3 linked regions of the Caenorhabditis elegans genome follow. The protein of the gene in region 3 purifies or fractionates together with the protein of the main gene of each other region. This does not show direct contact. Each region holds a gene or a part of one and is shown on either strand. Other genes may lie near its edges.

Region 1 (11,363 bases), on a different chromosome or scaffold from region 3:
CAACAGTAGAACTCAAACCCTGAATATTCAGTGAAAGTGTAGGCACGATGTAGGCACGTACGTCTGAAGCCGTACCTGAAAAATTTGGTCGTTTCCCTAAACTCCCTCTTCCATACTTTTTGAAATGTCCATGTAATTTGATTCCAGCTCTAACCCTATTCAAACCTTCGATCTTTCACTTTTTTCTGAATGAAGTTCATTCTTGAATTCATAATCCAGAAAAAAGAAGATTATACACACTATGCAACAGCCCATTCAAAGCAGAAAATTTTTGATTCGAGGATTAAATAGCCGTTGGTCGGGGCCGCTTTTGTCACTAATTGGTAAATGAGAAGAATGGGGCTTCTCCTTCCTATATTCTTTTTTAGGCAAAATTCCCGATTTGGAAAAATAAATTAGATATGATCGGATATATGTGTATGTATATCTATTGTTATCTTATTAGGAAGACTCATAATTGGATGATTGATAGAACATTATATCAATGACAAAAGATGACGTTGCAGATATGATTCAATTTAATGGGCATGCGAATCACAACAATTTTTGCAATTGGGAATTCTTGAAGTTTAATTTTTGAGAACGTTTAGAAAATTAGTTCTAAATGATTGTATATCACAATAAAAACTTAAAAATCAATTTTTGGTAAAGTGCCAAATATTCCAACAAAAAAAAACAGAACAATTGTAGCTCAAACCTAAAATTTTCAGTAAAAATATATGAATTTTTTTTCAAGCAAAACTTAAAAAATTACAACACAAATTTGTATTTTCAAAATAAAACGGAAATTTTCATCAGATTTTTGGATTTTTTTAGCAAAAAATTTGAAATTTTCAGAACAAATATGAAGAATTTTGAGATATTACAAGCTTTTCGGCAGGTTTAAGCCTCTATAATGTTTAAGTGCAAACACATGAAACGCAGATAAAATACAAAAACATTTTTTTTGGCCAACTACAAAAATTATGTCCTCTTTTTTTGATTTGGAAAAGTTTTACTATAATACACTTTAAAAACAGGACGGTTTTGAAATTGTCGTTTTTTACAAGCTAAAACGTTAATAAACTCCATAAGTGTTATATAGAAATTACGCAAAAAAGAACATTCTTGAAGCCTAAGAATTTGAGCGGTAATTCAAATGTTCAAGCATTTTCAGACTGGTTTTTCACAACTTACAATATGAGACTTGCAAATGTTTCGATATTCTGGGAATTTTTATCAGTTTTTAGAAGACTTTTTTTCAGTAAAATGGTAACTTTTTGACAATATTCTATTTGAAATTACTATTTATGTAGATTCGTTTAAAAATCACTTCATACTCCCCTAGCAAACTGCACAAAGTTTCACGAGAAAATCGTTCTTACTCTGCAGTGAGTGTCATTTTCATCAGGATCATCACCACATTCGCGAGGTCATTCCATCATTTGTTGAATCCTAGACCATGAAAAAAAACGGGCCAAATCACAGGGTCATTCAGGACGTTCAGGGGAAGTTGGCAGGAAATTTGAATGAAACTGAAGATGGAAAAACACAAAAAAAGTAACTTGCTACTCGTAATTTTGACCATTTGAATAAAAAATATTCAAAAAAAGCGCTCTAATTACAAGACTGCTAACTAATCAGCGATCTGCAAAAGGCGTGACCTACGCTGCTGATTGGTCGGAGCATGGACGGCAACACCCCTTCCTCTTAAAATGTTTCCATTTTCCTATCACCTCGAGACGGTCACTCTCCCAATCATTTTTCTTCATCTTTGTTTTTCTCCATCACCGTTTTCTTTCCTTTATTCCCACCACACACACACCGCAGCTGTAGGCGACCTTCTGCGGAAGGCGAGATGGGGCGCTCAACCGTTTACGAGAAGACATGTCTTCAGGTCTTCTACTGCTACGGTCCAATGGTATGGGAGAGAGTTGTCCTTGACTAGGTGGTGGATGGAGATCATATCGCATTTCAAAGAGACGCAGGCGTAAAGAGTGAACAGTATACCGCCTGGCTTCTCAATTGCAGATCATCGACACAGTGCCCCCTTCTCGGGGGAATGGTTTGTATGGGTGTGTGGGTGTGTGGCCCCAATTTGAATATCCTCTTACTCATTTTGTTGGCGTTTTCGTTTCTTACTTGCGACCGTTTTAAAAGTTATTTTTTGGACAACAAACATTATTTTTCTGCAAAAGTGCATGCCTAGGCTTTTACCGGCTTAAGCATGGGCCTAGGTTTAGGCTCAGGCTTAGGCTTAGGTTTAGGCTTATGCTTAGGCTTAGATTCAAGCTTAGGCTTAGATTCAAGCTTAGGCTTACGCTTACGCTTATGCCAAAGTTTCTGCTTTTGCCAAGGTTTCGGTTCAGGCTTATGCTCAAGCTCTTCCCGTGGTATGTGTTCAAGTTTAAACTTTCTCAGAATTATTGGAATTCACCAAGCTCTAGATTTGAATCTATTCCAGCTTAAAATTGGTCCAGGCGGAACTCGCATCAATTCAAGCCCTTTTCTTTTTGATCTTCGAAATAATTCTAAAATTAGAATTTGAATATTTTTCTACCCAACAAATATACCTAGTTAAGGTTACCTTATATGTTGACCACGTTTGCCGATTTCAATTGTTTCTCTCAGGGTGTCATAAATCAAGCAGTCACCCTTTATGTCCTTGCCACTGTTATTTCCTACCCCCCACCAACTGGTACAAACCATTTCGAAAAGTTTTATTTAGCTGCCTATTTCAGATTAATACCCTAAAAATTAAAATTTTGTGCGCTTATCTATGCAGAGCAACGCTAAAAACAGGAAGAACCCAGATAATTTCGATCGCAATCTTTTTTGCGAATTTTCTCACATTTTTCTTCTAATTTTTGCTGTTCCTACCTAATTAACCGTATTAATTTCTAATTTTCAAACAATCTTCGATATTTATCTCACACATTTACTATTCACCGATGAGAATCTCAAGAATCATCACAACGTTCGTCCCGTCGGCGAGGCTATGGCTTGGTTGAAAAATGAAAGTCTCCAGTTGTCCTGTCAATTCGTTTCGAATTATCCACCTCCTCCGGAGGAGAAGAAGGAGAATGAAATTAAGTGATGGGGTAGGCTGCTGGTGACTAGGGAGATGCAGAAAGGGGGGGGGGGGGGTCACTTTTATTGTCTACCCCGTCCGGTCATCCGTCTTTATACCTGTCTCATGATGACTCATTTTTGAAATTCAAACGAGGTAGACTCGGCAGTTAGGCACTTTTTAAGCGAACACCTGAGATTGAAACTAAGCGTAAGCCGAAGCGTAAGCGTAATCGTAAGCGTAAGTCTAAGCGTAGGCCTAAGTTTAAGCCTAAGTCTAAGATTAAGCGTAAGCCTAAGCCTTAGCCTCATTCTAAGCCTCAGCCTAAAGCTAAGTCTAAGCCTAAGCCTATGCCTAAACCTAAGCCTAAGCCTAAGCCTAAGTCCAAACCTAAGCCTTAACCGCATGTATGTAGTTGTTCCAAAATTGTTTAACTTCATTGCAGCTAATTTTCCTGAACACCTTCCTCATTAGTTGACCTATTTTCAGCCAATTACAGTTTGAAAGTTCTTTTTAAATTTGAAATCCTCTAATTCCCTTTCCCCCCTAAATGACCTTTAATACCCATAGAGTCTCCTGTCCTTTGGTGGCCACTTTTCCAACCCGATTACCTCTAATTTCCCACTCTCTCCTTCTATGTCTCTTTTTCTGGTTACCAAGGGACCACAGACTACTAACACACCTTTCTACCGCTTTTATCCCGAACGGGAGGGGGCACTATGCATTAATTATACTTACGAAGGTCGCAGACTTTTATCTTCGTTTGTTTTCGATTTTGCATACTTTTGTGTGTTTATTGATTTTTTTTTTCGTGTGAAATTTGAAATCTTTTATTGTCGGCGGAGCGAATTTGCATTAATGTTTTTGTTAAATTAGGTAAGAAGAAGACATTTTATATTAAAAATTTATAAAAGCTATCGATTTTCTATAATATTGGTGTAACATTTTAGGGTGTTTTAGCGGAAAGCCAAAAATTTCTGAATTTTCTTTTTAATTGTTGACTTTTTCAAACATTATTTGTATTTTACATACCAATTTTGTTTAAGAATTTAAAAAAAAAATAATAATTCAAATATGACGAAAAAACATTATCCGGACGTTAAGTTTGCTATTTTTGAGAAAAAAACAATAAACGACAAATTTTCTCAAATTCGGAAAACTATGCGTCTTTACAGAGTACTATAATTTTACCCTAAATAAATTCTGCAGTGTTTTTTTCTATTTAATTTACATAGATTTCTCACATTTTTTTCAAAAAAATAAATAAGTGCACAAAACTGAAAATTGATGAAAATTCCAAAAAGATAAATTACAGTACTCTTTAAAGACGCACACTTTTTGGCATTTAACTAACATTAGTCGTATCGAGGCCGGGTATCACATTTTTGGCGGAAAATTGCAAAATTAATTAAAATTTTGCAATTTTGCGTCTGAGTAATATATTTACAAGATGGTGGAGTTGTTTAATACTTGAGTTTTTCTAAATTCAAAAATTTCAGAGATTTTTGTGAAACTTTTTTTCTATTTTTTGGGTTAAGGCAATTTTCTATTTTCTATGTTTCAGTTTTCCGGTGTACCCCTCCACCTTATTCCTAGTGACCTTACTTGTCTCGGGTCCTTCATTACCTTCCCTTTTCGTCTTCTAAACGCATCTCACAAAAGTTAAGTGTTGACTCATTTCTCTCCCTCAAAAACCTTACATGTTCCTTTTTCGGAATGCCTCACACAACAAACCAGCGATGCATTTCCGAACACACATATGTCCACCCATAAAAGTGCGATAAGTAGATTTTGACTGTATATTCCCTGCAGGTGGTCTCTTTCTCTCTCTCTCTTCTTTCTGTCGGTTAGTACCAGAAGCCTGTCTCCCGTTTTGTCATATTCTTCTCTTTTCCTGATGCTTCTTCTCCACTACTACCACCTGTCTTCTTCTTCCCTTCCATTCCGTTCGTTTTCCTATTATCGTATTAGTATATACTAATATGCGTTTGACGTTGGAAACCTGAAGTAGATTCTCTCCGGAAGATAGATTACCACATTTTCACTAGTCGGTTGTTGGATTTATGAAGCTGTTAACACATACTTTTTATTAGCTGGACAGTTCAGGAATGGATTTGGCTTGGGCTTAGGCTTAGGTTTAAGCTTAGGCTTGGGTTTAGGCTTGGGTTTAGGCTTAGGCTTCGGCTTGAACTTAGGCTTAGGCTTAGACTTAGGCTTATGGTGAAGCTTAGGCTTAGGCTTAGGCTTAGGCTTACGCTTACGCTTAGGCTTACGCTTAGGCTTACGCTTAGGCTTACGCTTAGGCTTAGGCTTATCCTTAGGCTTAGGATTAGGCTTAAGCTTAGGCTTCGGCTTCGGCTTCGGCTTAGAGTTAGGCTTAGGCTAGGCTTAGACTTAGGCTTGTTCTCTAAATTTTTAATGTTTTTTTTGTTGCAAAGACTATAGTTTTTTAACAACTTCATGACGCATTTTATTTAAGCTTGTAAACTTCTAGGCTTATAGATTTTAATGTAAAATTTCGGGAATTGGAAATTTCGATATTGAATAAAAAAATTTCCAAACAACGTTTGCAACATTTTTCTTTAGAAAAAAAATTGTTTTTTTCTTTTTTATTTTCACATTGTCTTTTGTTCCTTAAGTTTTTATTCCAACTTTGCTAAAAGTATTTACAGTTAATTTTCAAAATTATCTGCAGAAATGGATTTCGATTTCGATTCGGAGCCAAAAACGCCTCCTCAACTACCCCCTGCTCCACCGATTCGGACAGTGTCGAATAACCCAAAAGTCACGTTTAAAGGCGCACAGACTTGGAGAGAATCTGTCGGAATGTTTTTGGTTATGGCACTGGCATTGGCAGTGGCGGTTAGTTTTTCAAATTTTCCCCAAAAAATTTAAGTTCAAAATCCGACCGCGGTCACACTTGGCCGGAATCCATCTGCTATCTTTAGTGAACCGGATATGAGAAAAAGTTTGTTTCGAAAAAGGAAAAAAAAGAAGATTATATGCACATGAATACTGCTTCACATTTTTGCAAAAAGAAATATGTTGTGTGCTTATTTTCAAACTTTTTTGGGATTGGAACTTTCCGGTACACTGAGCTTTAAACCGAATTATTAATAGGATTAAAATAAGCTGGGAAGGGGGTTCCGGGAAGATTATAAATTTTTTTTTTGGTTTAACTGGAAAAAGATTATTACTAATGAGATACTAGGTATACAAATAAATAAATAACAAAAATGCACGAAACCTTGTGAAAACTGCAAAACGAAATTTCGAAAAGACAAAATTGAAGAGTGAATTTTTGAAGCATGAGTCTACAGATATTAAGCCAAAGAGCTGAGCCTGAAAGACTCAACTTGAAGGCCTACATTTGAAGGCCTACGCCTGATAGCCTGGATGGGATGTGTCGAAAAGCCCTTGGGATTAAGTCGAAAGACTTAATCCCAAGGGCCTTGGCCTAGGGTCCTAAGCAAAAAAGCCCAAGCCTTAGCCTGAAGGTATAAGCCCAAACGTTTCGGATTCCCAAAATACTTCCTGACTCATAACTCAATTTTAGAACCAAATCTGACTGAATCACAAAATGTTTCGGGAACTCAAAAGAATCTATGACCTGATTACTCGGTTATTCTTAATAAACACCCTCTGCAGCTGTAAATACATTATGAATAGGTGCTAGTTAGATAGATCAAAAGTTTTTGTTAGATCAAAAAGTGAAGAGGAAGTCAGAAAAGTTGGGTTCGAATAGTGATATGGTCTATTAGAGAAATAATTGAATCTTTGAATCTGTGAGTCTGTGTCGGAAAAATATGTTAACTACAAACTAGGATTTTCTCCTTTTCGTAGTGAAAAATATAGTTTAGAAAAAGCTAGCTTAGTGGTAGTCCTAAACCTGAGACTCGGTTTAGGCCTACTCCTGAGCCTAGAACTAGGCATAAGCAGGTGTCTAAGCCTAAATACATATCTGAAGACCATACTTAGGTTAGAAGCTTAAGTGCCAGCTCTTGCAACCTTGAAATGCTTAACATCTACTAACCGAAGTTGTGAATCCTGATGGCCTAGCTCAAAGCCTAAACCTAGAGCTAGCCTTAAGCCTAGCCCTTAGTCCTAGGTTAATGCCTAGTCTTGGGCCTAAATCTAGTCCTAGGCCCAAACATGGCTATAGACCTAAACCTGACCATAAGCCTATGGCCAACGCATAAGTCTAGCCCTAGTCTAGCCAGTCCTGTTCCTAAAATTTCTGAAATCTGAAAAAATCTGAAACTTTTCGGTACTCTCGCTTCTTTGTTATGAATTTTTCATCTTGTTGTTCACTTTTAAGCATCTGAAATTATCTGAAAACCCTGAAAATCCCTAGAAAAAACAAGACACTTTTGATATATAAAAATGTAATTTATTACTTTTTTTGGAAGCTTTAATGTCAATTTTGGTTCAATATATACAAAGAAAGTAAGGGTTTCTAGAGTCTACAACAATTCAAAAAACAATGAAGAAAAAACAACAAAATAACATTTAAAAAACAAAACCGGAAAAAAATAGTAGTTCGAATGTGGAGAGACCCGTGAAGGCGGCTTGTGTAGATTTTTGTACAGATATTTAGAACAGTTAGGGCTCATAGAGGAGCTTTCCAAGAAGCTTAATAAAATGCAGATACACATCTGCGGAACCCACGTCGCTTCTCCTCGATAGTCCTCTGGATTGCAGCCTTGACTGCTGGGGAGCGGTGAGCATCGACGTTGGTGAGAATGTCTTGATTGATGTGGAACATTTTGTAGAGAATTTAGAAATTAGAGCAATTGAAGAATTTGAAAAACTCAAGAGATTAGAGTATTATCAGTGTGTTCTCTTGCTCTTGCTTATATAGGCACCCGTGTGCTCTGGTGATAATTGGCTCCGCCCCGCGTTATCCATCCAACCGAGCATGGTCATGAGGCGAGAGACGGGTGAACAAGAAGAAGTCAGAAGAAGATGAATAGAGAGGAGTCATAGGAGCTAATTAATCAGCAAGATTTTTTGGAGGGGAAAAGGGTACCACGAGGTTTCTCGAGCAAAGCTTGCTTGAGAAGGGGTACTGTAAGGGAGCAGAACTTTTGATGTTTCTAGAAATGGGAAAACGTTTTTTTGAAAAAAATCAAAGCTCAGCTTTGGATGAGGTGTATGCCAAAAGTCTTGAACCAAGCTTAAGCCTAATAGTAACCGTGAAGAAAGAAGCCTGAGACTAAATCTAAAGGCCCTAGTTTAAAGGCCTAAGTTTGAGCTTCAGCGTAAGCCTAAGACTAAGCCTAAGCCTCAACTCAAGCCTAAACATATGCCCAAGCCTAAGACTGAGCCTAAATCCCAAGCCTATGCATAATTCTAAGCCTAAGCCTAAACGTCAAGGGTTTGCCCAACGTTCTAAGCCCAAGAACTCGGCCTCATTTTCTTCCGAATTTGTAGTTTTTGATACCTTTTTTTCTGAATTCTCGTCAAACCTTCCAAAATTTCAAAGCCTACAATTTCCAAATTACTCTGTTTTGACCAACATAATTGCCGGCTGAAAGATCAAATTGAAACTTTTTATTCCAGAAAAAATCGGGTTTCCTGCAAAAGCCCGAGCCAATTTGTGCGCAGTTTTGCCCTATAATTTTCTCTAATTTCATGAGAATCTCGTTTACTTGAACTTTGAAAATTAATGGCTGGTGTTTGAAATTTTCATACCCCAGAAGATTCTCTTGACTGGACAGGAGGAAGAAAAGAAATATTCCAAAACATTTTAAGATTCACTTGACTTATTTTCAGTCTGAAAAACTTGAAATCCTGTTCCGCTTGGCTCGATTTTTTATCCATCTGATTTTTCGGTTTTAAAAAAGAGTCACGTAGTGGCTTACAGACCTTTTTGAACAAATTTTGAAAATTTTCAGCCAAATTTTTAAGGGATAATGCACAAAGTTTCTGATATCCGGAACGTTCGGAACAGGCATAATTAATCGCTTCTAGACGACTTGTTGTTGAGCGGAAATTTGATAATGTCTGGGGGTAATCACGGGAAAATTGTAAAAATTGTAATGGATCAAAGAACATAAAACATAATGGTCTCAGTTAGAGAAAAATATTCTGTGAAAAATTTTAAAAGGCATGTAGGAAAGCAGGCAGGCAAAAAACCCAAAGTTGCCGAATTCCAAAAACTCATTCATCAACTTTTTTTTTGTTTTTTGATTACCAACATATTAACCCAATTACTCACATAAATCCTATCAATTTCACACATCATTTTCCATTCAAAAAATTCAAAATTCTTTCTCCAGACAAAGCGAAAATCCTCAGCATTTTCACCGGGGGCCCCCTATTATCGGATTAGGCAATTTTAATCCAATAAAAGTTTCGGAACTCCCTCAATAAAATAATGGAAACCCAACAAAAAATGATGAATTTTAAGATTTTAGAAATGATGGGCAAAAGCTCTATGACTAAGAACATTTGGCAAGAAAACTAGAGTTTTATGTTTCTAGTTTGATTTTTTTTTTTTGAAGATTTAAGTGCAAATAATGTGTCATGACAGGGGGTGAGCTGGCTGGAAAACATATTAACGAATGATTGTTTGAACTCACTGAGGAAATAAAGCAGATAAAGAAGCGGGTTTAAAAAACAGTTTTTAGTTAAGCAGACGACATTAAGCGGTTCCGTCTGTCCAACAGCCCGGAAGATGTCGGGCGCTGAAAAGGAACAGGAAATTACAAGCGTCCGACGCATACCGGGTCCCACCCTGCAAATGTCAGACGCTGTTACGCTTATTGGATTTTCGTAATTTTGTCAAGTTTAGAGACTACTTTTTGGTTGATAAACGTTCTAAAAATTTTGAAAATTTGTTTTACAGCGCCCGACGTCTCACGGGTTCTATAGGGAACCCGAAAATTGTCGGGTGCTTCACACGTTTCTTCAGCTTATCCTTTTTGAAATAGCTGAGGTTAACCGGGTCATTTTTATCACCAGACATCTTGTAGGACAAATGTTTTTTAATTCGAATTTTGAGCCTCCGTAGTTTTTCAACTTTAGAGCTATTCTTTGCAGTTCTCAAATTCCCAGTTTCGTAGTGGGACCCAACCTAAAAATTGAAATTTGCAGATCTCAAGCCTGGTGCTCCTTTGTTACGTGTGGAAGGACAAGCAAGTGTACGATCATATTGTGGATTTCCTCGACAAAACGATACAAATCTCGAAAATCGCTGAACGTCCGTTCCTAGGAGTATATCAGTTGTCTGAAAAAGAGCTTGAAGTGCTTGGAAACGAGAGAACTGTAAGTTTTAGTATTGGTTCATAGACCCTTTTTGAAACACTCTAGTTAAAAAATTGCCGAAGATCTCTCTGAAATTGTAGGTAGACCGCACTGGCCAAAATGATGTGAATTTGTATTTCAAAAAAACCAAAAAGTTATTTGTAGCTGGCGTTTTTTTTTTCAATTGAATTTGCATAATCAACTTATAACATTTCTTGTACTACATATTTTTAAATAGGATTTTTTTGAATTTTCAAAAATGTGAGGGGATTTCCCCTCAACTATCTGCAAGTTCCAACATGAACTCATTGTTTCTGACCCCCATCTCTTATGTGATTTTTTACATTCAAAATAAAAAATGAACAACAAAATCGAAGTTCAAAAGATCCTTGATCCAACACCAGAAAGTTTTTTGTATTGCTCTTTACCCCGCAACAACAAAATGATGAACTCAAATGTATATGGGATTAACTAGAAATAGACAAAAAAAGTAGAAAAGTAATCGGTTTTTGGTGGCTTTCTCCGAGAACCCACGCAGAGTAGGCGCCATAGATTAAAAGTTCTGGAAGCAATTTTCGGTTTTATTTGGAACTGGAAAAAATTAACTAAACGAGACCTACTAAATATTGGTCTTTTTTGGCAACTCCCAGAAAAGAATTCAGAGACAGAGGAGCTTTTAAGAAAATTTCATGTTTCGAAAAACAAATGATATTTCTTTTCGAAGTTTTTTTCTGAACATTTCCAAAAGAGTCCTTCTTCTCAGTTGGCTTTTGAGATTTATAGCTGGGATGCCCGGCAAATTTGCCGAATTGCCGAATTTGCCGTTTGTCGAGCACGACAAATTTCAAAAAGTAGATTTGCCGAACTTGTCAAGCTCGGCAAATTTTGAAATTTGCCGCACACCCCTGATTTGTAGCATAAAAACACCAAAAATGAGCTACAAAAGTTTTCAAAAAACGTTGAAATATTAGTTTAGGCATAGCTAAACATTTGCCAAAGTTCCAAAAAAGCAATATCGGAAAAAGTTAATTTTTTTAGATTTTTTTTCAAAAAAAAACCTCTTATT
Region 2 (11,254 bases), 9.8 Mb from region 3:
CTAAAAATCTCGATTTTTTCCAGAAACCGCCGCCGCCGCCGCCGCCGAGACCCAAGAAGCCGAAAAAAATGCCCGCCGCTTCACCGGACGTTTTGGCTCATTGAAGAGAACAATGAGCGAACTTTTGAATGATTGGAAACAGTCTGGAATATCGAAAATTGTGGATTCGCAAGTATTTGAAGCCCGAATGCTCGAAGCGAATACACTTGACGAAATGAAACGACTTGTCACAGAACTTGTCACTTCGATTCCTGTTGAATGTGTCATTGAGAAGTTCCCACAGAATGTGGCTATTGCGAAAAGTTCGTAAAAAAAACCCCCGGAGAAATGGTTAAAACTGACTGAAAAATCGAATTTTCGAGGCGATTTTCGGTCTAATAGCGAGAAATTCGTTTTTAGATCGAAAAAATGTTGCGGAAAACTGCAGTTTCGTTATAAAAATGACTAAAAATAGCTGAAATTTCGATGAACAATTTTTGGATTTAAAAAAACAAACTTTTTTCCGAAAAAAATTTGAAAAATTATGAATTTTTTTGAATTTTTCGACCTTTTTGATGGGAAAATAGAAAAATTATGGATGTTCCGATTTTTACGGAAATGTTTTTGAATTTTCCTACTTTGTTAATGGAAAAATTGGAAAAATTATCAATTTTTACCGAAAAATTCGAGAATTTTTGAATTTTTCGACTATTTTATTGGAAAAATGGAAAAATTATGAATTTTCCGATTTTTTCCGAGCAAAATGCCGAATTTTCAACTACTTTCTTTTATTTTCTCACAAAACCTCAAAATTCTTAGAAAAGCTGAATCAGACTATGAAAATTGGTGCAAAATTTGGAATTTGTGCGATCTTGTTTAGTTTTCACTAGATTTTGTTTCGAATTTGTCGAAAATTCCTACGTTTAGTCCAAAAACTAGCTAATTTAAGCCTAAAACTGTCTAAAATTTTCATTTTTCAGCCAAAAGCCAAAAGATGTTCGTCTTTTGCCAAAAAAAAAGGGTAAAACTATGGATTTTCGGCTTTTTTTCCAGAAAAATGGAAAATTTTAGGCTTTTCAATTTTTTAAAAAGGAAATTCGACAAATTGTCACAATTTTATGACCTTTCCCAGAAAAATTGGAATTATTAAGCTTTTAAGACGTTTTTTTCAGTTTTACTGGCATTTTCTTATTAATCTAGATGAGAGCTTCAATTTAAGTATAAATATGGCGTATTTTACGCAAATTTTAAACAAAATTGGGTCTCGCCACAAAATTCTACAGTAACCCACAGGTTTTCGTGGTGGGACCCAATTTTTTCAGACTTTGCGCAAAGTAGGTCAAAGTTATACGGTAACTCGGCAACAATATTGTCTGTGACTTGTGTGTTTCTCTATCCGAATTGATGGTTTGAATAGTGGTATTCTCGGCTGAAACATGCAATAAATACCGTATTCCAACCAACAATTTGTGCAATAGAGCACATTTGTCACCGGAGATGCGGAAGCTATGCCCAAATTTTCATTTTTCCGGTGGAAAATAAACTGGTGAAATCCGGTGACAAATTTGGAATTTGTGCGATTTTAGTTAATCTGGTGTTAATATTCGCTACATTTTGTTTAAAAGTTTTCGAAAATTCATAGGCTTCAGGGGGTTAAAAACTAGCTAGTTTAGGCTGAAAACTGTCCAAATTTGAATTTTACAAATTTTGATGAAAATATGTCAAATTAGGCGAAAATTAGCAGAAAATTCGGAAAATAACTAGATTTTCAAAGTCAAAATTTAACTTTTTTTTTGCATTTTCCAGAGTGCTTCTCCCATCTAAAAATGCCACGTTTCTGCCGTCGTGTACAGGAAGCTTCAAATGCATCCTGTCTTCACATGCTTCTAGCCTATTTTGATGCCCGAATCGACCAACAACGTACACTTCCAGAACTTTCATGTCAAGTGTGCCGCCGGAAGACTGGAACCGAGAGGAAGCTGATGTGTAAGCAGTGTTCTACAGTATTCCATTACGGTTGTCATCGTCCAACGATTAGTCGAGCTCTTTTCGAAGAGGAAGGCTTCAAGGAGGGATGGTGGTGTGCAAAGTGTACTAAGGAAGATCGTAGAAGGCAACTATCGGAAGCTAAGGAGGATCTTCGACAGAAGGAAGAAGGTGGAGGGGATGAAGAAGATCATCATGGAAGTGGTGAATCTGACGATGAGGATGAGGAGGATATTGTTGAAGAAGAGACTCGAGGAAGATCTGCTAAACGAAAGGCCAACGCTGCAATGCGAGATGTGCTTGAATTTGAGGGAGTGCTGAGGCAGACGCCTGCCCCGCCACCGCCGAAGCGGCAGAAGACCGTTGTTGTGCCGGTAAGGGTGAAAATTGGATGGAAATTCTGGCGAAAAACTGGGTTTTACTGGATTTTTTCCCAAAAAAATTGGAAAAATTATGGATTTTAGAAAAACAAAGGAAAAAACGGAAAATATAGAACTTTCGACAACTTTTTTCCGAAAAAAATTGATTGAACAATTTAGGACTTTTCCGACTTTTTATGGAAAAAAATTCAAAAAATTATGGTTCTTTTCCGATTTTTACGAATATATTGGAAATTTTTTGGATTTTGGAAAAACAAAGGAAAAAACGGAAAATATAGGATTTTCGACTTTTTTTTTCCGAAAAAAGTCAATTTTTGGTTCTTTCCTTTTTTTTCAGGAAAAAATTGGAAAATTTCTGGGTTTTCCCGACTTTTTATGAAAAAAATTCAAAAATTTTGGATTTTTCAGTTTTTTTCCGGAGAAAGAGCAAAAATTTGGGGTTTGCCGGATTTTTTCCGACGAAAATTGGAAAAATTATGGATTTTTCCGATTTTTTCCGAAAAAAACGGAACATTTTAGGTCTTTTCCGACTTTTTATGGAAAAAAAATTCAAAAAATTATGGTTCTTTTCCGATTTTTACGAATATATTGGAAAATTTCTGGATTTTTCGATTTTTTTTTCCGGAAAAATTGACCAATTTTTAGTTTTTTCACCCTCTTTTCCAGAGAAAAATTGGAAAAAAAACTGATTTGCTACCGAAGAAATTGAAAAAATTATGGATTTTTCGACTTTTTTTCAGAAAAAATTGGAATATTTTTGAATTTTGGAAGATTCGTCTAAAATTAGAAATTTTTCGAAAATATCTATTCCCAAATTTTCCATTTGTTGAGCAAAATTTTGTGAGTTTTGCGAAAAACTGGGTTTTACTGGATTTTTTCCCAAAAAAATTGGAAAAATTATGGATTTTAGAAAAACAAAGGAAAAAACGACGGAAAATATAGAATTTTCGACTTTTTTCCGAAAAAAAATTGAACAATTTTTGGTTCTTTCCATTTTTCTTTTCCGGAAAAAAGGTCAATTTTTGGGTTTTCTAACTGTTTTACCAAAAAATTGGAAATTTTTTGATTTTGGAAAAACAAATGAAAAAACGGAAAATATAGGATTTTAGACTTAAAAAAAATCAATTTTTGGTTCTTTCCATTTTTTTTTTTGCCGGAAAAAATTGGAAAATTTCTGAGTTTTCCCGACTTTTTATGAAAAAAATTCAAAAATTTTGGATTTTTCAGTTTTTTTCCGGAAATATTAAACAATTTTTTTTCTCACCCTTTTTTTCAGAGAAAAATTGGCAAAAAAAAACTGATTTGTTACGGAAGAAATTGACAAAAAATAGATTTTTCGACTTTATTTCCGGAAAAAATTGAAAATGTTTGGATTTTTTGGAAGATTCGTCTAAAATTAGAAATTTTCAGCCAATAAAATTTAGACAATTTCTCGAAAATATATGTATTTCCAAATGTTCCTTTTTTTTGAGCAAAAACTTGTGAATTTTCATTCAATTTGTCCAGAAAATCAATTTTTCCGTAATTTTTCCGCTACTTTGAAAAAAAATTAGGTCTAACAAAAACCTACAGTAACCCACAGGTTTTCGTGGCGGGACCCAATTTTTTAGACATTGCGCAAAGTAGGACAAAGTTATACTGAACTAAATTTCCCTGTATATTGTCTGTGACTTGTGTGTTTCTCTATCCGAATTGATGGTTTGAATAGTGGTATTCTCGGCTGAAACATGCAATAAATACCGTATTCCAACTAACAATTTGTGCAATAGAGCACATTTGTCACCGGGGATGCGGAAGCTATGCCCAATTTTTCAATTTTTTGTTAAAAACTTGAGAATTTTTCCAGAAAATCAATTTTTCCAAATTTTCAGGAAGTGCTGGAGCTGTTCAACTCGATCGAACGTGCCAATCCTCGACTCTACAAGACCCTGCAACAAATTCCCGGCCAATCCCGTTCGACACGTAACGCTCAACACGAGAATCGCTCTCTGCCGGATATTGAGCAAGATTTGGACGTTTACACGTCTGCCGAGCAGCTTCACGAGCATTTGAGCCAATTCTTCCGTCATGCACGTGGATACATTGAGACTCATAACCCAAGAAAGTTGGATGATCTTGATGAGCTCATTTCTGAACTCAATTTTATGTGATTTATTTCGGAATACACTGAAAAATCTTCTTTTTTTTTTGAAAGTGTATCATTTTTATTGTGAAAAGTGTCCTAAAATGCAGTTGAAATGTTGAAAAATCGGTTTTTTAAATTAAAAATTTAAATTTTCGGAATTTTTTCCCAAAAAAATTGAATATTTTAAATTTTCCGATTTTTTTTCCAAAAAATTCGAATTTTTCAAATAAAAATTTCCAAAAATATGAATTTAATTTTTTTTTTGAAAAAATTCGAAATTTTTCGACTTTTATTTGCAAATTTGGAGATTTTTCCAGTTTTCGCAGAATTTTTTGATATTTTTTCTACATTTTTTACTTTTTTCCCTATTTTCTCACTATTTAATCCCAAAAAAAACTATCAATTTCTTATTTTTCTCACTTTTTCACAGATTCTCCAAATTTTCCTGTCCCTTTAAGATTTTTTTTCACCCCCCGGCAACGAGTTTTGGCATTTTTTTGAAATTTTTCATCATGGCATTCGATCATTTTATCTAATTTATTGTAATTTTTTGGGTGAGAACCCCCTCATTTTTCGATTGTAAAACGTTGAAATAAAGTTGGCACACGTAATAATGAAGTTACAGTAATCCAGCGGTGGGTCTCGAGTGGAAAACTTGGAAATTTTGAAATTTCCGGTTATTTTTTGCTGGAAATTGTAGGTTTTCAATGGAAAGAATTCAATTTGAAGTGAATTTCACAAAGAATTCGAAAACATGGAAAATACACAAATTCCGGAAATTTTCTGGGTCTCGAGTGTAAAACTTCAAAAATTTGAATTTCCAGGTTAATTTCGCTGATAAAGACAACTTTTCTGGTGAGAAACTCGCGACTTAGGATGAAAATTGTGGTAAATATTCAACAATTTTGGAATTTTTTGGGTCTCGAGTGGAAAATACAAAAATAATTAGATTTTTCGATTATTTTATTCTAAACATTGTGTTATAATCGTTTAAACAAACCATTTGCTTAATTTTAACGACAATTTTCGTTAAAAATATCTAAATTAAGCTTGAAAACATTTTTTTTTAACAGAAAAAACATTTGCGCGTCAATTAAAGTGTATTGTATGCAATGCGTACTTTTTCGCTTACCGTAGTTAGCACATATTTAAATAGACATTCAATTTGAATTATTCGTGAAATTCATTTGTTTGGTATAATCTATCTGATTTCAAATCTTGCTTAAACTTTCGGATTCGGCTGAAAATCCCCCGAAAATCCCCTGAAAATCGGTTAAAACCAAAACAATGCAAGTGCGCTCCATCGCACCACCGAGAGAGCACGCATTCCGTGGAGTGCGCGAGATGACGAGAGAGACGGAACCGGTTTCTTTGTTCGTTTTTGCCGATTTTGCGCCGTTTTTCATGAATTTTCCAGTTTTTTTCGCTGAAAATCAGCTAATTTATCGATTTTCTCACCATTTTTACCCTAAAAATCTTGAAAATCCACCTAAAAAGCACAGAAAACCTGGAATCTTGAAAATTTTCAGAATGGAGCCGGATATTGAGCCATGGGACCGGTTTCGCGACTGGCTTCACTGCATTTGTGTGGTCACGTTTGATTTGGAGCTTGGACAGGCGTTGGAAGTGAGGATTTGCAGAAAAACTGAAAAAAAAATGCAGAAAAATCAAAAAATCCCGGATTTTCTGACTTTTCGCTGCGAGACCCGGAAATTTTCGCATTTTTTAAAATGATTAATGTGATTATACTCAAATCAAAGCTCTCGACGAGCTGAGCACGATTTTGACAAAAAAAAAATCTGGTTTTTTCAGGTAATCTACCCAGGAGACGCAATTCTATCGAACACTGAAAAAATCAATATCTGCTATTTGGCATTTCCAGACTCGAATTCCAGTAATGCACGAGACACAAATTTTCATTTCAGGATACGCAGGTGATTTTTTGAGATTAAAAATTTCGGAAAAAAATATTTTTTTTTCAAATTTTGAGAAAAAATTTTTTTGGCTGAAATCTGAAAATTTGCGAGTGATTTCCGTGTTCAGCTCACCGAGAGCTTTGATTTAAGTATAATTATGACCTACTTTGCTGAATTTTGAAGAAAATTGGGTTTTCGTGGCGGGACCCAACTTTTTTCAAATTTCAGCAAACTAGGTCATGTTTATACTCATTTTGAAGCTTTAAGTGAGCTGAATTCAATGCAAATACTCAAAATTAAAAATTTTCAGAGCAATCAGTGACGTCAGAGACTGCCAAAAGTCGTTTGTCGACAAATCTCCGACGTCTCTACCCTTTGATACACACTATTTATACGGTTTTGTGCATTTTCGGCAATGCAAAGACCCGACAATTCATCGAGGATATTATCAGAAGGTTCATAACCGGAACGCAATAAAATTGGCGAAAATTTGAGTGAAAATTCGAGTTTTTCCCCGCTAAAATTCACTTTTTTCCGGAAAAATGGAACAATTTTTAGTATTTTCCCCTTTTTTTTGGAAAAAACGGAATTTTTTAAATGTTCGTCTTTTGCCAAAAAAAGGGTAAAACTATGGATTGTCGGCTTTTTTTCCAGAAAAATGGAAAATTTTAGGCTTTTCAATTTTTTAAAAAGGAAATTCGACAAATTGTCACAATTTTATGACCTTTCCCAGAAAAATTGGAATTATTAAGCTTTTAAGACGTTTTTTTCAGTTTTACTGGCATTTTCTTATTAATCTAGATGAGAGCTTCAATTTAAGTATAAATATGGCGTATTTTACGCAAATTTTAAACAAAATTGGGTCTCGTCACAAAATTCTACAGTAACCCACAGGTTTTCGTGGTGGGACCCAATTTTTTCAGACTTTGCGCAAAGTAGGTCAAAGTTATACGGTAACTCGAAAACAATATTGTCTGTGACTTGTGTGTTTTTCTATCCGAATTGATGGTTTGAATAGTGGTATTCTCGGCTGAAATATGCAATAAATACCGTTTTCCAACCAACAATTCGGTGCAATAGAGCACATTTGTCACCGGGGATGCGGAAGCTATGCCCAAATTTTCATTTAGCGCGGAAATTTGGCTGTTTTCGGGTGTAAAGTAGAAAATTTGGAAATTTCGACATTAAAATTTATTATAAAATTTGAAAAAAAAACCCATAAAAACCCTTTTTTCTGACAATTTTCTGTTTTTTTTAAATCCCAGTTTCCGAGGAAAGCTATAAATTTGGGTACGGTAACTCGGAATTTATGATGTTTTTTTTTTAAGCTGTAAAAACTGAAAAATTCTGCTCAATTTCCAATTTTTTGTTGAAAACCTAGTGGTTTCTTGGATTGTTCTAATTTTTAATCAAAATCCTGCTGAAAATTAGAATTTTTAGCTTTTCCGCTTGTTTTTCGGAATTTTTTGTGGCTTTTTCCAGGTAAAAAATCCGTTTTTTACGGAAAAAACGGCAAATTTTTGAATTTTTCGATGTTTTTCCCATGAAAATCAAAAAATTTGTATTTTTTGTTTTTTTTATAGGAAATTCGAATAGTTTTTTTTTTCGTGGCGAGACCCAACTTTTTCAGACTTTGCGCAAAGTAGGTCAAAATTGAACGGCAACTGAACTGAATTTCCCTATATATTGTCTGTGACTTGTGTGTTTCTCTATCCGAATTGATGGTTTGAATAGTGGTATTCTCGGCTGAAATATGCAATAAATACCGTATTCCAACCAACAATTTGTGCAATAGAGCACATTTGTCACTAGAGATGCGGAAGCTATGCCCAAATTTTCCATTTCTCAGCCTGAAAACTTGGCTGAAAATCCATTCCTTTTTTTTTTTAGCTAATTTTCTATTTCCAGAGCATCGTCCTAATGTCAGTGCTCCCACTGTTTTCCTTGTTCTACTCAGTTACCGCCCGCATCGCTGAGCATTTTTTTGAAAGTGGAGAAGCAGCAATTGAAGCAGGTAGCCGCCACCTGAAATTGGAAAAAAAAACTAAAATTTTCTGAAATTTTCCAGCCTGCCATCACATTGACACGTGGCAACAGCCGCACGCTGGTCGGACTATTGAGTTACCGTTGCTCGGTACTTTAATCAGTTGCCGCCTACCGGCCGCCTGTGATCTACCATATGAATTCCGGCTTGATGGACATGTTGAGGTAGCTAAAATTGGAAAAAATTGGAAAAAAAAAACTCGAAAAATTGAACATTTTTGGTCTGAAAAAATGTCCGGAATCTATCAGAAAATTGAAATAAATAGAGAATTGTGAAATTTTTAGCCGAAAAATTCTTATTTCTAGATATTTTTTGAAGAATATTCCAATGATGTTCCAGAATCTTTGAATTTTTTTTTAAATTTAAGAAAATCACAAAAATTTCAGAATTTTAATTCTATAAGTTTTCGAAAAAGAAAATTTCTTCAAAAAATCAGAAAATATGCTGAAAATTAACGAAAAATTGGAGATAATTTATTACAAAAATTTTCAGAAATTAAAAAAACAAAACTGAAAAATCTAAAATATTATCCAAAAAGAAGTGTATTATAAATTCACTAAAAATCTCAAAAAATCCAAAATTTATCAGAAAATTTAGAGAAATTCACTAGAAATTGCGTAAATTTCTGAAAATTCGAAATATTATCAAAATTTGGACAAAAAAATCGCAAAAACCCCCAAAACTATCGGGCAATTGTGAAAATTTCAGAAAAAAAACTCAAAAATTTAAGAGCTTTAATTCTAGAAATTTTCGAAAAATTCCAAAAAAATCACAAAATTTTTCAAAAAATTAAAAAAAAAATTTGAAATCTCGAGAAATCCAAAATTTTTCAGAAAATTTTCAAAAATTTTTTGAAAAAATTTGAGAAAATCCTTCAAAAACCTATAATTTTATTAGTTTCCTAAACTTTTTTCAAAAAGTCTTTAAAAATCCCCATATTTTTTGTTGTTGTAAAACACCGAAAATTCTAGAAGTTTTTTGCAAAAAAAATCAGACAAAAGCTCAAAATTAACGAAAATTTTAGAAAATCTTTGAAAATTCCAGAAATGTTTAGAGTTTTCTAAAATTATTTCGAAAAATCTCAGAAATTCTCTAAAAAAATCCACAATATCGAAAATCGAAAAATCTTCAGCAAAATTTTTGTAGTGTAATGTGTCAAAAATTTTCAAAACTCGTATTAAAATACAAAAAAAAAATCGATTTTCCCACAATTTTTCCCTCCAAAACCACTCAAATTTTTGCTACTATTTCAGCTATCAGACGATGATTCTCAACGCCTTGTCCGTCCAGATTTCACTACATCAATTGTACAGCACGTCCATCATTTGCCACTGCTCTGGGAGCTTGTACTGCTCGGCGAGCCCCTTCTCATCGTTGCTCCGACGCCATCCATCACTTCTGCTTTAGTTCAGTCAATCGTTGGATTACTGTCACCTCTGAGGATTGTCAACGATTTTCGACCGTATTTTACGATTCATGATTCGGAATTTCGAGAATATTCGTCGAAAAGTCGATCGCCGTTAGTTTTTATGCTGAAAATCCTTTTTTGATTTTTTCTTCAAAAATCAGCGAAAACTCGGCTTGTGCCATTTCTCAAATTTTTAGGCCAAAGGATTTATTAAAATCTGAATATTTCGACAAAAATATTGAAAAATAAAATTTTCCAGAGAGGAATGCCATAAATTTGGGTACGGTAACTCGGCAACTGGGCAATTTTCGAATTTTTCAGTTTTTATTTTTAAAAAGCTGTAAAAACTGGAAAATTCGAGTTTCAATCGGCCCCCCGGCCCAAGCAGTTACCGATTGAGCCAGGGAGGATGAGGAAATCCTAGGTCCTCGGTGACTGCGACAAAAATGTTGTTTGTTTTTTCTGGACCTTTTTTTTCCTTTTTTTTTTTGGGATGAAAAAATTCGCAAAAAGTTTTCCCGTGGTGGAGAGTTGAACTCATTTTTTGTGCTAAAAATCCGGATTTTTTCATTCAAAAATCAGCGAAAACCCAGCTTGTGTCATTTTTCCAATTTTTACGCCAAAAGATTTGTTCAAAACTGAAAATTTCGACAAAAATATTGGACAATTTGATTTTATAGATTCCGTAACTCGGTAATTGCAAAAACTGTCGAATTTTCCAGTTTTTTACATAAAAAAAATGTAAAAAGTGAAAAACTTTGGCCAAATTTCCAATTTTTTGGTGAAACCCAAAAATTAACATAGCTTTTGATATAATTTTCTCAAAATCCTGCTGAAATTTTGAATTTTTAGCTTTTCCGCTTGATTTTCGGACTTTTTTCAGAAAAAAATTGAAAAACTTATGGGCTTTTCCGATTTTTCACGACGGTAAACGGCAAATACGGTTTTAAGAGTTTTTTTTTGGAAAAAAAAACGAAAGTATCAAGAATTTGAGCATAAAAATGACGTAGTTTGCGCAAATTTGTTTTTGGGTCTTGTCACAAAAACCCACAGTAACCCACAGGTTTTCGTGGCGAGACCCGAATTCAGACTTTGCGCAAAGTAGGACAAAATAATACGGCAACTGAACTAAATTTCCCTGTATATTTTCTGTGACTTGTGTGTTTCTCTATCCGAATTGATGGTTTGAATAGTGGTATTCTCGGCTGAAATATGCAATAAATACCGTATTCCAACCAACAATTTGTGCAATAGAGCACATTTGTCACCGGAGATGCGGAAGCTATGCCCAAATTTTCAATTTTTGCTGAACATTTCATTAAAAATCACTTTTTTGCAGACCCCGTGTGATTCTTGGCGTAACGAATCCGTTCTTCATCAAAGCCCTGGACCATTGGCCGCATATACTTAAAGTCG
Region 3 (10,320 bases):
GTAAACTTTACTAGTGTGTGAAGTTTTCAAGCAACCACTATGATTGACCACACTCTACTCATCTTTTAATTTAACTTTAACTCGGAGTTTTCAATTTTTATTTAATTTCAATACATTTTATCTGCAGTTTGACTTGAACAAATTTTGAAACTTTCTCAATTAAGAAGTGGTTCTTTTCTGGGATTCTGGTTTTTTCGGAAAACAGTTCTGTATCCTTGGTCATGTTATTATATTTGCCCTATATAGTCAATATTACTCTTGAAAACTCCCTTCCTGTCGGATCCTTTTATTGCTCACGGAGCATCCACCTCATCCCAAAAACTTTGTTCTCTTTTCATCCCGCGCACAATCACCACACACTTCTTGCCGTTGTTGCTCCCATTCTTCAGAATGCCTCCTCAAATCTTTTTGGAGGCACAAGTTGAAGGAGTTTTGGAAGACTCAAAAGAGCTCAAAAGACCCGACGACATCCCTGAGAATACTTGACCATTCATTGTCATCAGTAAAGACTTTATGATGAAAAGAATTGGAGCAAAAGTTTTGAGCAGAGGAATGGTAGTTTTGCCGCAAAAAGTTAGATGGAGTCTGGGGTTCTATGTGAAATATGTAGTAGACTGTTTTGAGAGAAAACTTCAGGTCGTGTGAAAAATTAAATATAAATATTATTTTAGGGAAACTCTAGGTTCCAGACTTGCTTGAACCACAAACGTAAAACTGACGAATTTCAAGCTGTATTTTTTACAAACTTCATTTTCAACTTTATTTTTTATATATCAGTATCAGGCATATAGTTCTCTCTCGGAGAGCCAGAACAAAATCGAACCAAAAAACCAATATCCCTTGATTCATTAAAATTTTAATTTTCTTTGAAGTTAGTTGCTGAAAACTTTAACATTGTAACACCGATTGTAAATTCTTAGATTCGTTATTTAATGTTCTACCCCTCTTGTTCTTCAGTAGGTTGTCACAACCAATTCAGTGTAGTCTATAGTATTAGGTTTCTAAGCAAAAAAAAAAACAGTAAAATATTTTTCCAGCTGCCAGGCTCATGGTATTTTAGAACCTAATAAAATTCTTCAAATGCTCATCATATAAATTGAACTCTCTGTGGCTTGTACCACAGGGTACGAACATGACCTCCATTTCATTTTAGTGGTGAACACCTGCATTTCATTTTGATGCTTACGCAATCAAAAATACTTTTTTTTCTCGATTTTACCCAAGAGTAAGACAATGTGTTGGGATTTTACGCAATATCGAGAACGATGCAGGAAAAGGTCGTTGAAGAGAGATAGACAGACGAGGGTCATACAGGTGTGAACTTTTGGAAAACTTAGCGAAATGGTGGGGGGGGGGGGGGGGGGAAGTAAAATGAATAGATCTTCCAATGTTACATTGGATTGTAAATTATTTATCACAATCATGTTTCCGTATAGTATTGCATCCCATCGCTCTATGTACTTGGACAGCTTATGTTTCAGTTGTCTTTTGAGTTGGTAAAAAGTTATCAACTGACAAAACAATTTATATTTTTTCTATAGTGCTTCAATCAGACTTGTGAACAATTTTTCATCACGTAGGCATTAACTTCTCTCGTTGGGAGGCGAATTTTGTGGAATCCCTAGTATTCACAGAATTTCAAAATCCGTAGGAAACAGAACGTTCCGCTTCAAGGCGCACAAAAACTTGATAGCATACGGAAACCGCTTCATTTCTATTTTCAATTTCTAATTATAGTTTCACTGAATCAATTAATCGAACTTCTGACAGAAACTTTCCAACTTTAAATTGTTTGAAATGTACCTGGAATTAAACACGGACTAGAAAATGGGATGATCATCTTATTGTTCAATTCTATGAACCGGAATTCTTTAAAAACTATTAGGTTTCATCCATTTCAAGCCGACAAGAGCTCCCCACAGACTGTTCATCACATTGTTCCCTCTAATCTTCTTCCCACGTTTTGCGCTAAAGTTTTGTCACACCATATGTCGGCTATTTGTTGTTTATAGGTAAGTGGTGTCATAGCCAAAGGCATATAATATGAAGGATATAATAAGCGGAAGCTATTCTCATTCTCTCTTTCATTCAGAGCGGCGTTAGATTTCGCGCATGCACCGCCCGTGTCACACATACCTCGAAAGCCCCCACACAGATAATTGTCGATTTGAATACGCATCATTGAGTTGGCAAAGAGCCGTTTACCGTTTACCGTAGTCGTGAAGTTAGTAGGTAACATGGGAAAAAGTTTGGAAACATTAGAGTACAAGGGTTTCGTTTGGGAAGAAGTGGAGTAAACGGGTGAAGTGATTTGTTATACTTTGTACTGTTAGTTGTCTGATAGAGATACGTTTCTATTATTCAAACTTGAATTTCATTCGAACCTTTTAATTGTTTGTAAGTCCTGAGAGAACCTTTATAATTATATTGGCGTCTTGTCCGACCTGCAAGTACTGCTTCTAAATTTTTGATGGTACACATCCTTTTTTCACTACTTTTTTATAATATTTAAAACACTGAATATTTCAATTATGTGGGCAAAAAAGTAGATGTATCTTTTTGATGTGTGTATTGCTTTTTGCCAGCTATACCGTAATCCCAATGATTCTAAATTCCGTTTTCACATCCGACATGTGAATTCTACACGCCAAATCATCGTTTTTAAATTCCGAAAATCCAGAATTACATCCTTCATTTTCCCGCATTCCTTTATGATTTCCTCTAGTCTATTTGCTCATGATCTATATTAATGTACATCTTCTTTTTCATTTGTATCCATATATCCGAGGTCTTCTCCTTCTTCTTCTTGTTTGCCAACACATCTCCCTCATAACTACAGTATCCCCCGCTTCGTGTGTCATCTTAAAAGGAGAAGAGTGTGATGGCGTAACCTCTCGCTTTCTTTTACAAGTTGTCCGATACTTTTAAGGGATTAGGATTTATTAGAGAACAGACCAAAAACGACTGGAAATACAAGAGTAAGAGAGATTTGTCTCAAAATGATTGAAAACATCCACTTCTTGCACAATGCGCCGACAAAAGGCAGATGATCTTTGTTACAGGTGGATTGATGTACATTCAGGTCAAATAAAGGAAAACTAAAGATGTTAACCGCAGGCTCTGTAACTGTATCACTCTTAACAAATGATTATTTCACTATTTTATTCTAAAAGTATCCTTTCCAGATTATTATTTTTATGAAAACCATATAAAAATTTTGCAGCTTTCAGATTTTAACCGAAATCAAATAAATTTGAAGTCGCATGCAAACTCCCGGCACCTATCACATTTTGTAACTGAAACCAAAGTTAAAAGTACTTCATTCTCAATGTCATCAATCTAAGATTTTTATTGAAATGTTCCATAGTACCTGGTACATAGCACACTTGAGTTAGTGACACCCGATTGGAGTAGATGCATGGGTACGTTATGACCTTATTAAATGAGAACTCGATTTGTTAGAAATGAAGAAGTGAACGTGTCTACAGTAACCTGATGCCAAATAGTTCAAAAAACCGGCATCTAGATATAAGAAACATATTTCCTAACTTTTCAAATTTTCAAAACTGTAAAAAACATAATACAAACAATTTTGGCACTATCGCAACATATTCTTTGTTTATTCATAGTCTTACAATAAAAACAAAAAAAACAAGAGACAAAAGCACTAGATGAATTTCGACCTTGAGCTTCAACCCATCATGAGCACTTCATACAATGCTCGAGAGTCCCTCATTGTTGTTGTATGCAGATCTGTAGAAGAGTAAGTTTCAAGGATAAGGATCAATCGAAGATATTGATGATTTCCGGGGGTGGATTGAAGGGGATATAAGGAGTATTGTGTTACTTGAATGCAACATTTTCAAAAACCTGAAATGGATATTTTAAATGATTGATTATTCCACCACAGATATCGTAAGCACCTGTCCAGTAGAGGCATTTAAAAGATGTACATCTTGTACTGTTATCCTGGAGCAAAAAAATATATAATTACAGAGTATCGATATGATATTACCAATTGAGCAATCGTCTTACGGTGAAATTCAAAGGATAGGCATGGCTTGATCAGACCTAATACAGAGTAACCAAAAATGGACGCGACAATTTTTTTCAAACAGCTGGCAAATGTTTAGATAACACAAAGATGTTAGTAATGACTGTAGTTGCTTAAATTCATTAAATGATCAAAAGGAAATACATACTCAAGTTATTGAAAACATTTTCAGAAATAATTTAAGTTTTAGAAATTGAATGAATTCAGCTAATTTTCAATTTTTTCAAACCAGATATGTGTTCTTTACAAATGTTTGATATCTTTTTACAGTATTCAAATTACAATCTGAAACTTATGCAATCTTTCAGATTATCTCACTATCACCATTCCTAATTCTTCCACATTCCTAATCGAGGTAAAAGGTACACCGCCACGTGTGTTGCAAGAGGATTATCAAAAGAAGAGCAATTTGTACGAGTACACAACACAAACAACCATTTTATTGGATTGCGTGGAAGACGCAACAGAGCCGGAAAGAGAGCTGACAGATGTGCTCGGTCGGATGCTTTGTGACGGAACATGGATAGTAACAACAAGGCTACAATTTGAGCGGCACGGTTATACAGGTGTAACTGCCAGCAAAGCACTTGAAGTTGGAGGGAAATTTTGAATCAATGTCTAGCAAAATAATAAAAAAATTATTTACGTAACCTTTTATAAAATTTACGTTACAGGCTTTATCAAAATGTCGATCTTTCGACAAAAATCAGTATTAATTTATTTTGGAAGTTTTTTGCCAAATTACTAAAAGGTGAGTAGGGGGAATTTCAAAGTGATCATTTTGCAGTCAGACTAGGGAGGGGGGGGGGGGGTGGTGATAATTATAACAAAATAATTTCACGTGACCTTTTCTTATCAAAAGAAAACTTCCAAAAGGGGGAATTCGAAAAATAAATCAATAATAATTCTCCGACAAATTACTAAAAGGTATGTAAGGGCAGACTTTTCTTTTAGCCTAAACAGTTGTGTTAACCAAATGTTAATGTAATGGCTTGAAATTTGTATCTAATTCAATTCACATTTACAGTAACTCAAATAAAATGGGCGACTTGATCCAGCTAAGTGTCGGTACAAAAGTAAAAAAGTGGCAAATTGATAAGAAACTCGGAGAGGGTGCATTTGGTGCAGTCTACAAGTGTTCCAACCCGAAAGGAGACCTTTTTGCACTTAAAGTCGAGGGAAAAGACGAGAAAATTCAGTTGTTGAAAATGGAAGTCTACGTGTTGAATGAGTTGAAGAAGGCCGGAGGACGTCATTTCTGTAATATCGAGGATAAGGGACAAGTCGATAATTTCAATTATGTCGTGATGACATTTGTTGGGTTGTCACTTGCCGATTTGAGAGCCATTTCACCAACTAAGAAATTCTCGTAAGTTTTCTTTCAGAGAAACGGTTTTACAGAGATCTGGCAAAACGGAAGTTATTGTTCCCGTTGGATCTCCCAGAATTCAATCACCAAATTGCCTTTCCAGAATGGGAACCGCTATCTCCATTGCCCGTCAATCGCTGGAGGCACTCGAGGACATGCACAACATTGGATATCTCCATCGTGACGTCAAACCTGGCAACTACACAATCGGACGTGCCGAGGTCAATGAGCTTCGCAAAGTTTATGTGCTGGATTTCGGTATGGCTCGTAAATTTGCTCACGAGGATGGAACTATCAAGAAGCCCCGTAACGTCGCCGGGTTCCGTGGGACTGTCAAGTATGCGCCTGTCAGTTGTCATGCTGGACGTGAACTCTGTCGTCAGGATGATTGCGAAACGTGGCTTTACATGGTGGTGAGTGTGTATTCGGATCAAAATATTATCTGCTTTTCAACTAGATTTGAATTCGCGCTTAAAGTCACTTGCGCGATAATTCAAACTCTGCCATTTTAAGGAAGGCAGAAAGCTTATCAGAAATTGAAATTGATCCGAAATCTAACATTTTAAATGTTAAATTTCCAGGTTGAGCTCACTAAAGGGTCCCTGCCATGGCGTAATATGACAGAAATCCAGGATGTTGGAAATGAGAAGCGTGCTATTCGCCGTGATCCCATCGTCAAGAAGAAGATGTTCGGAGGGTAAGAGACAGATTTTCTAAAAAACTATTTTTGAAGTGTTGAAAAAACTTTCATCACCCGTCTCTGTTTCAAAACCTATCTTATTTCAGCTGTCCACGTGAGTACCTTGACATTCTCGAAGCGATCGATAAGGGACAATTCTTTGATGAGCCGAACTATGAACGGATCTACTATCTTTTGAGAGAGGCAATGAAGAATACGGGATCCACTGAATATCCGTATGATTGGGAGCAATCTCTTATGAAGAAAACGAAGGAAGAACAGGAAAAGAAGAAGAAAGGAGTTGTAGATCAAACAGAAAAGGTTATCAAGAAAAAAGAAGTTGAGTTGGCAGAGGGAAAATCTCATAAGGAGACTAAGGAGGTTACCAAAGTCAGTAAGGAAATTGTTGAGGAAAAGAAGGAAGAGAAGAAAGAGGAGAAAAAGGAAGAGAAAAAGGAAAAGTATGAAGACGATAAGAAGGAGGAGTTGTATTGATTGACTTTCGAGAAAAATAAATTATTTTTGAATGTTTCATGTGATATCTAGTTTTTTATCCTACGCGTACGTGATTATTTTGAATATTGGAGTTTCTCATTAGTAACATTGCTTTTTGTTCGAAGCATTCAGGATGAGGTCACCTGGGTTTCCTGCCATGCTCAGTTACTACAACATTGACATCTGTTGCAACTATTCAGTTAACTATCGATCTATATTCTTTTGCAGTCATTCATTTTTGCCTAACACAACTATAATGGCTGCCGTTTCTGAATTTCGTCTTCTTCAATTGCCTGAAAGAGCTCAACGAATTTCACTCTCGCACATGAGTTATAATTCAATGTAAGTTTATTTTGTTAACAAACAACCAGTTTAGTCATTTTCTTTTTCAGATTCTCACTCTCCCTGTGCTCCACAAAAAAAAACAAAAGACCTCGTTCGAAATTTCAATATAAAGTTCTATCGATTTTCTTTAGAAATATTTGGCGACATTGCTCTGATTATTAGCTGCGAAAACAGTCAAATCGATTTTAGTCTAATTCATTGAGCAGTAAAAAAACGTTACACCAGGATGATGTGCTACGAAAAACGTTAGATTTTTTGCAAATAGAGTGGAGAGTTTTGTATGGAAACGACCAAACTTGACATTTAGAAATTGGATAGATCACTTTCTCAATATTCTAAATATTTCAACTTTGAATGTTATAATGGCAAAGAGAAATGTTCATGTTGATTTTGAAGATCTTAATAGTTGTTTAGAAGGAGTACCTATACGAACGCTCACCTATGAAGGTATTGAAATAACTTCAGATAGAATTAATCGAAAGCATCCCGTTAGTGATACATTTTTATCAAAAGCGGGGTTTCTTGATTTTTATAATTGCACGTATAAAAGCTCACAGTTCATTCACAAGTTTCTCATTCATAATACTACGACGGTATTCACTCGTGGAGTGCCGCGATATAACCTGAATGATTTGCTGGTGTCTAATGGCCAAAAAATTTACGTTCAAGTCGGTAGAGGCATCATTTTTTTGGAAAAAGATGTCAATAAATTTTTAAAGCATTGGATACGTGGGTCCAATAGAGAACTTAAATCATTGGCATTCAGAGCTCCGATGAATATGGAAATAGAACATGCTATAGAAACAATATTAAAAGGAATATGTTACAAGGATGCACGAGAAGAAGATGCAGCTTCTATTAAACTGGTTCACATCTGCAATGGAAATACCTTTAAACATCCAATAATCAAAATAAGTGGTTTTCGTATTAAACGATTCGATGGAACAAATGCAACAGTTGTAATCAGATTATTAAATGCAAATAGTGTATGTTGTAATGTTGATATGTTTGTTTCCTAGATTCTTGTTTTAATGCACTCTCATTAATTGTACTTTTTATGAACACATATTTATACTCACTTTCCCTCTGACTCTGTCCCCTCCGAGGCACTGTCCCTTTGACCGCTATTTTTTGCTGCTTACCTTTCTTTGTTTCCTTTCTTTTCACTCATGGGACGAAATAAATAATAATCTTAAACGGAAGAGTGCTGGAGCATTCAGATACATTATTTTGAGTATTCGTCTCGAGGGCTGTGTAATTGATTTTAATCTGTACATGCTGAATAGTTGTGAGAAAATTACACCAGGACTATGTGCACCGGAAAAGGTTCGACGTTTTACAAATGATGTGGTAAATTTTGAATTAAAGCAACCAAACTTGAAATTTAAACATTGGATAGATCACTTTCTTAATATTCCCAATATTTAAACTTTAGATTTTGCAATGGGAAGGAAAAATGTTAATGTTGATTTTTGAAAATCAGGTTTTTTCGTTTGAAACATTTAGGATGAGGTCACCTGGGATTCCTATCATGCTCATTGTCAGTCACTACAACATTGCCATCTGTTGCAACCATTTAGTCAGATATCGATCTATATTCTCTTGCAGTCACTTCATATGTCTTGCATTTTCTGCATAACACATCTATAATGGCTGCCGTTTCTCCATTTCGTCTTCTTCAATTGCCTCAAAGAGCTCAACGCATTTCACTTTCGCACATGAGTTCTGTTTCTGTGTAAGTTTATTTTGTTAATACAACCAGTTTAGTCACTTTCTTTTTCAGATTTTCACTCTCCTTGTGTGCCACAAAAAATACAAAAGACCTCGTTCGGAGTCTAAATCTGAAGTGCATACGATTGTGTTTAGAATTCTTTGATGACCTTATTTTGAGTATTTGCTTCGAAGGCTGTATAATTGATTTTTATCTGTACATGCTGAATAGTAGTCAGAAAATTACACCAGGACTATGTGCACCGAAAAATGTTCAAGTTTCTACAAATGATGTGAAAAATTTTAAATGGGAACGACCAAACTTAAAATTTAGAAATTGGATAGATCACTTTCTTTATATTCTCAATATTTCAACTTTAGATGTTGCAATGGGAAGTAGAAATGTTAATGTTGATTTTGAAAATCTTCATAGTTGTTTAGAAGGAGTTCGTGTAAAAAAGTTATCTTATCATATACTGGACATGACTTCAAATGAAACCAACCGAACAAATTCCGTTAATGATACATTTTTATCAAAAGCAGAGTTTATTGTGTTGTCTAATTGCACGTATGAAACCTCACAGTCTATTCACAAATTTCTTATTTGTAATAATGCGACACTATTCTCTAATGTTTTTTCTCCATATAATCTGAATGATTTACTCATATCCAATTGCCAAAACCTTCTCGTTAACGTTGATAGAGGCAACATTTTTTTGGGACAAGATGTGAACAAATTTTTAAAGCACTGGATACGTGGATCAAATGTAACACTCAAATGTTTGGCATTAGAAGCTCCGATGAATATGGAAAGAGAACTTGTTATAGAAACAATATTAGAAGGAATTGATTACAAGGTTAAAGAAGAGGAGGTGTCAGTTTATAAGAAAATGCTTGATATCTTCAATCACGGAAATCCTTCAATTACCAAAATTCGTGGTTTTCGTATTACACGATTCGATGGTACAAATTGCGATGTTGTAATCAGAACATGCAATCCGAGTGTTATGCGGTACAGCCTAAATATGTTTATTTTCTAGTTTTGTTCTGTTTTGATACACTCTCATTAATTGTATTTTTTATGAACACATATATATGCACATATTTGTTGCTTCTAATTGTTTTGTTAATTGGAAAAACTGGAAAATGGAATAAATATTGGAATAAAAACGTGAAATAAGAAACCACAATTCAAAAATGACGTAGTGGATGTGGAGATAAACCTTTAAGAATAAATCAATTTATTATTTTTTCACATCGACTCGGAGGATGTCGTCGTTGAATGAGGATGTTGACGAGAGTAATCATATTTTTTATGATCCGGTCACACTCTTGAGACCGGTTTCACGAGCGATTAGCATGAATTTGGATCAAGTAAGAGTTTTTGAAATATTTTAATGCATTGCACTAAATGTGCCTCGCAAAACTTGAATTTTCAGCTTAACTTCGTCACTGTTCTTCTTCTATCATTCGGTTTGGGCTACTGGTTCCGTGTACAATTTTGTGATGCAAGTCGGACAACTCGTGCAGCAGTCACTACATCAGTTGGGCTAATTTTCACCTATTTTTGCTATGGAAAGTGAGTTTTGAGATGAAGTAGATTAAAAAAAAAGGGTTTTCAGTGCCATAGCTCATTTATTCATCAACGGGTTTGGAAGTTACCTTCTC

What was found.
Region 1: the proteins of C08F8.15 (region 3) and R03H10.2 fractionate together in Caenorhabditis elegans (co-fractionation; one large-scale study listed by BioGRID). This does not show direct contact.
Region 2: the proteins of C08F8.15 (region 3) and F53H1.3 fractionate together in Caenorhabditis elegans (co-fractionation; one large-scale study listed by BioGRID). This does not show direct contact.

The regions. Positions count from the first base shown.
Region 1 is NC_003280.10:4,150,029-4,161,391, forward strand, and holds the start of R03H10.2 (uncharacterized protein), read left to right. Parts: upstream 1-5,744; 5' UTR 5,745-5,746; coding exon 5,747-5,911; intron 5,912-10,147; coding exon 10,148-10,318; intron 10,319-11,363.
Region 2 is NC_003282.8:1,323,163-1,334,416, forward strand, and holds the start of F53H1.3 (UDENN domain-containing protein), read left to right. Parts: upstream 1-5,999; 5' UTR 6,000-6,000; coding exon 6,001-6,096; intron 6,097-6,282; coding exon 6,283-6,404; intron 6,405-6,696; coding exon 6,697-6,841; intron 6,842-8,294; coding exon 8,295-8,400; intron 8,401-8,454; coding exon 8,455-8,594; intron 8,595-9,683; coding exon 9,684-9,949; intron 9,950-11,177; coding exon 11,178-11,254. Other genes in the region: F53H1.4 (PHD-type domain-containing protein), read left to right, coding at 24-302, 1,786-2,339, 4,217-4,495.
Region 3 is NC_003282.8:11,159,063-11,169,382, reverse strand, and holds C08F8.15 (F-box domain-containing protein), read left to right. Parts: upstream 1-8,575; 5' UTR 8,576-8,591; coding exon 8,592-8,677; intron 8,678-8,725; coding exon 8,726-9,692; 3' UTR 9,693-9,820; downstream 9,821-10,320. Other genes in the region: C08F8.6 (non-specific serine/threonine protein kinase), read left to right, coding at 5,095-5,423, 5,527-5,836, 6,005-6,120, 6,210-6,597; fbxb-9 (F-box domain-containing protein), read left to right, coding at 6,854-6,939, 6,990-7,104; mboa-4 (Membrane Bound O-Acyl transferase, MBOAT), read left to right, coding at 9,922-10,026, 10,092-10,231, 10,275-10,320.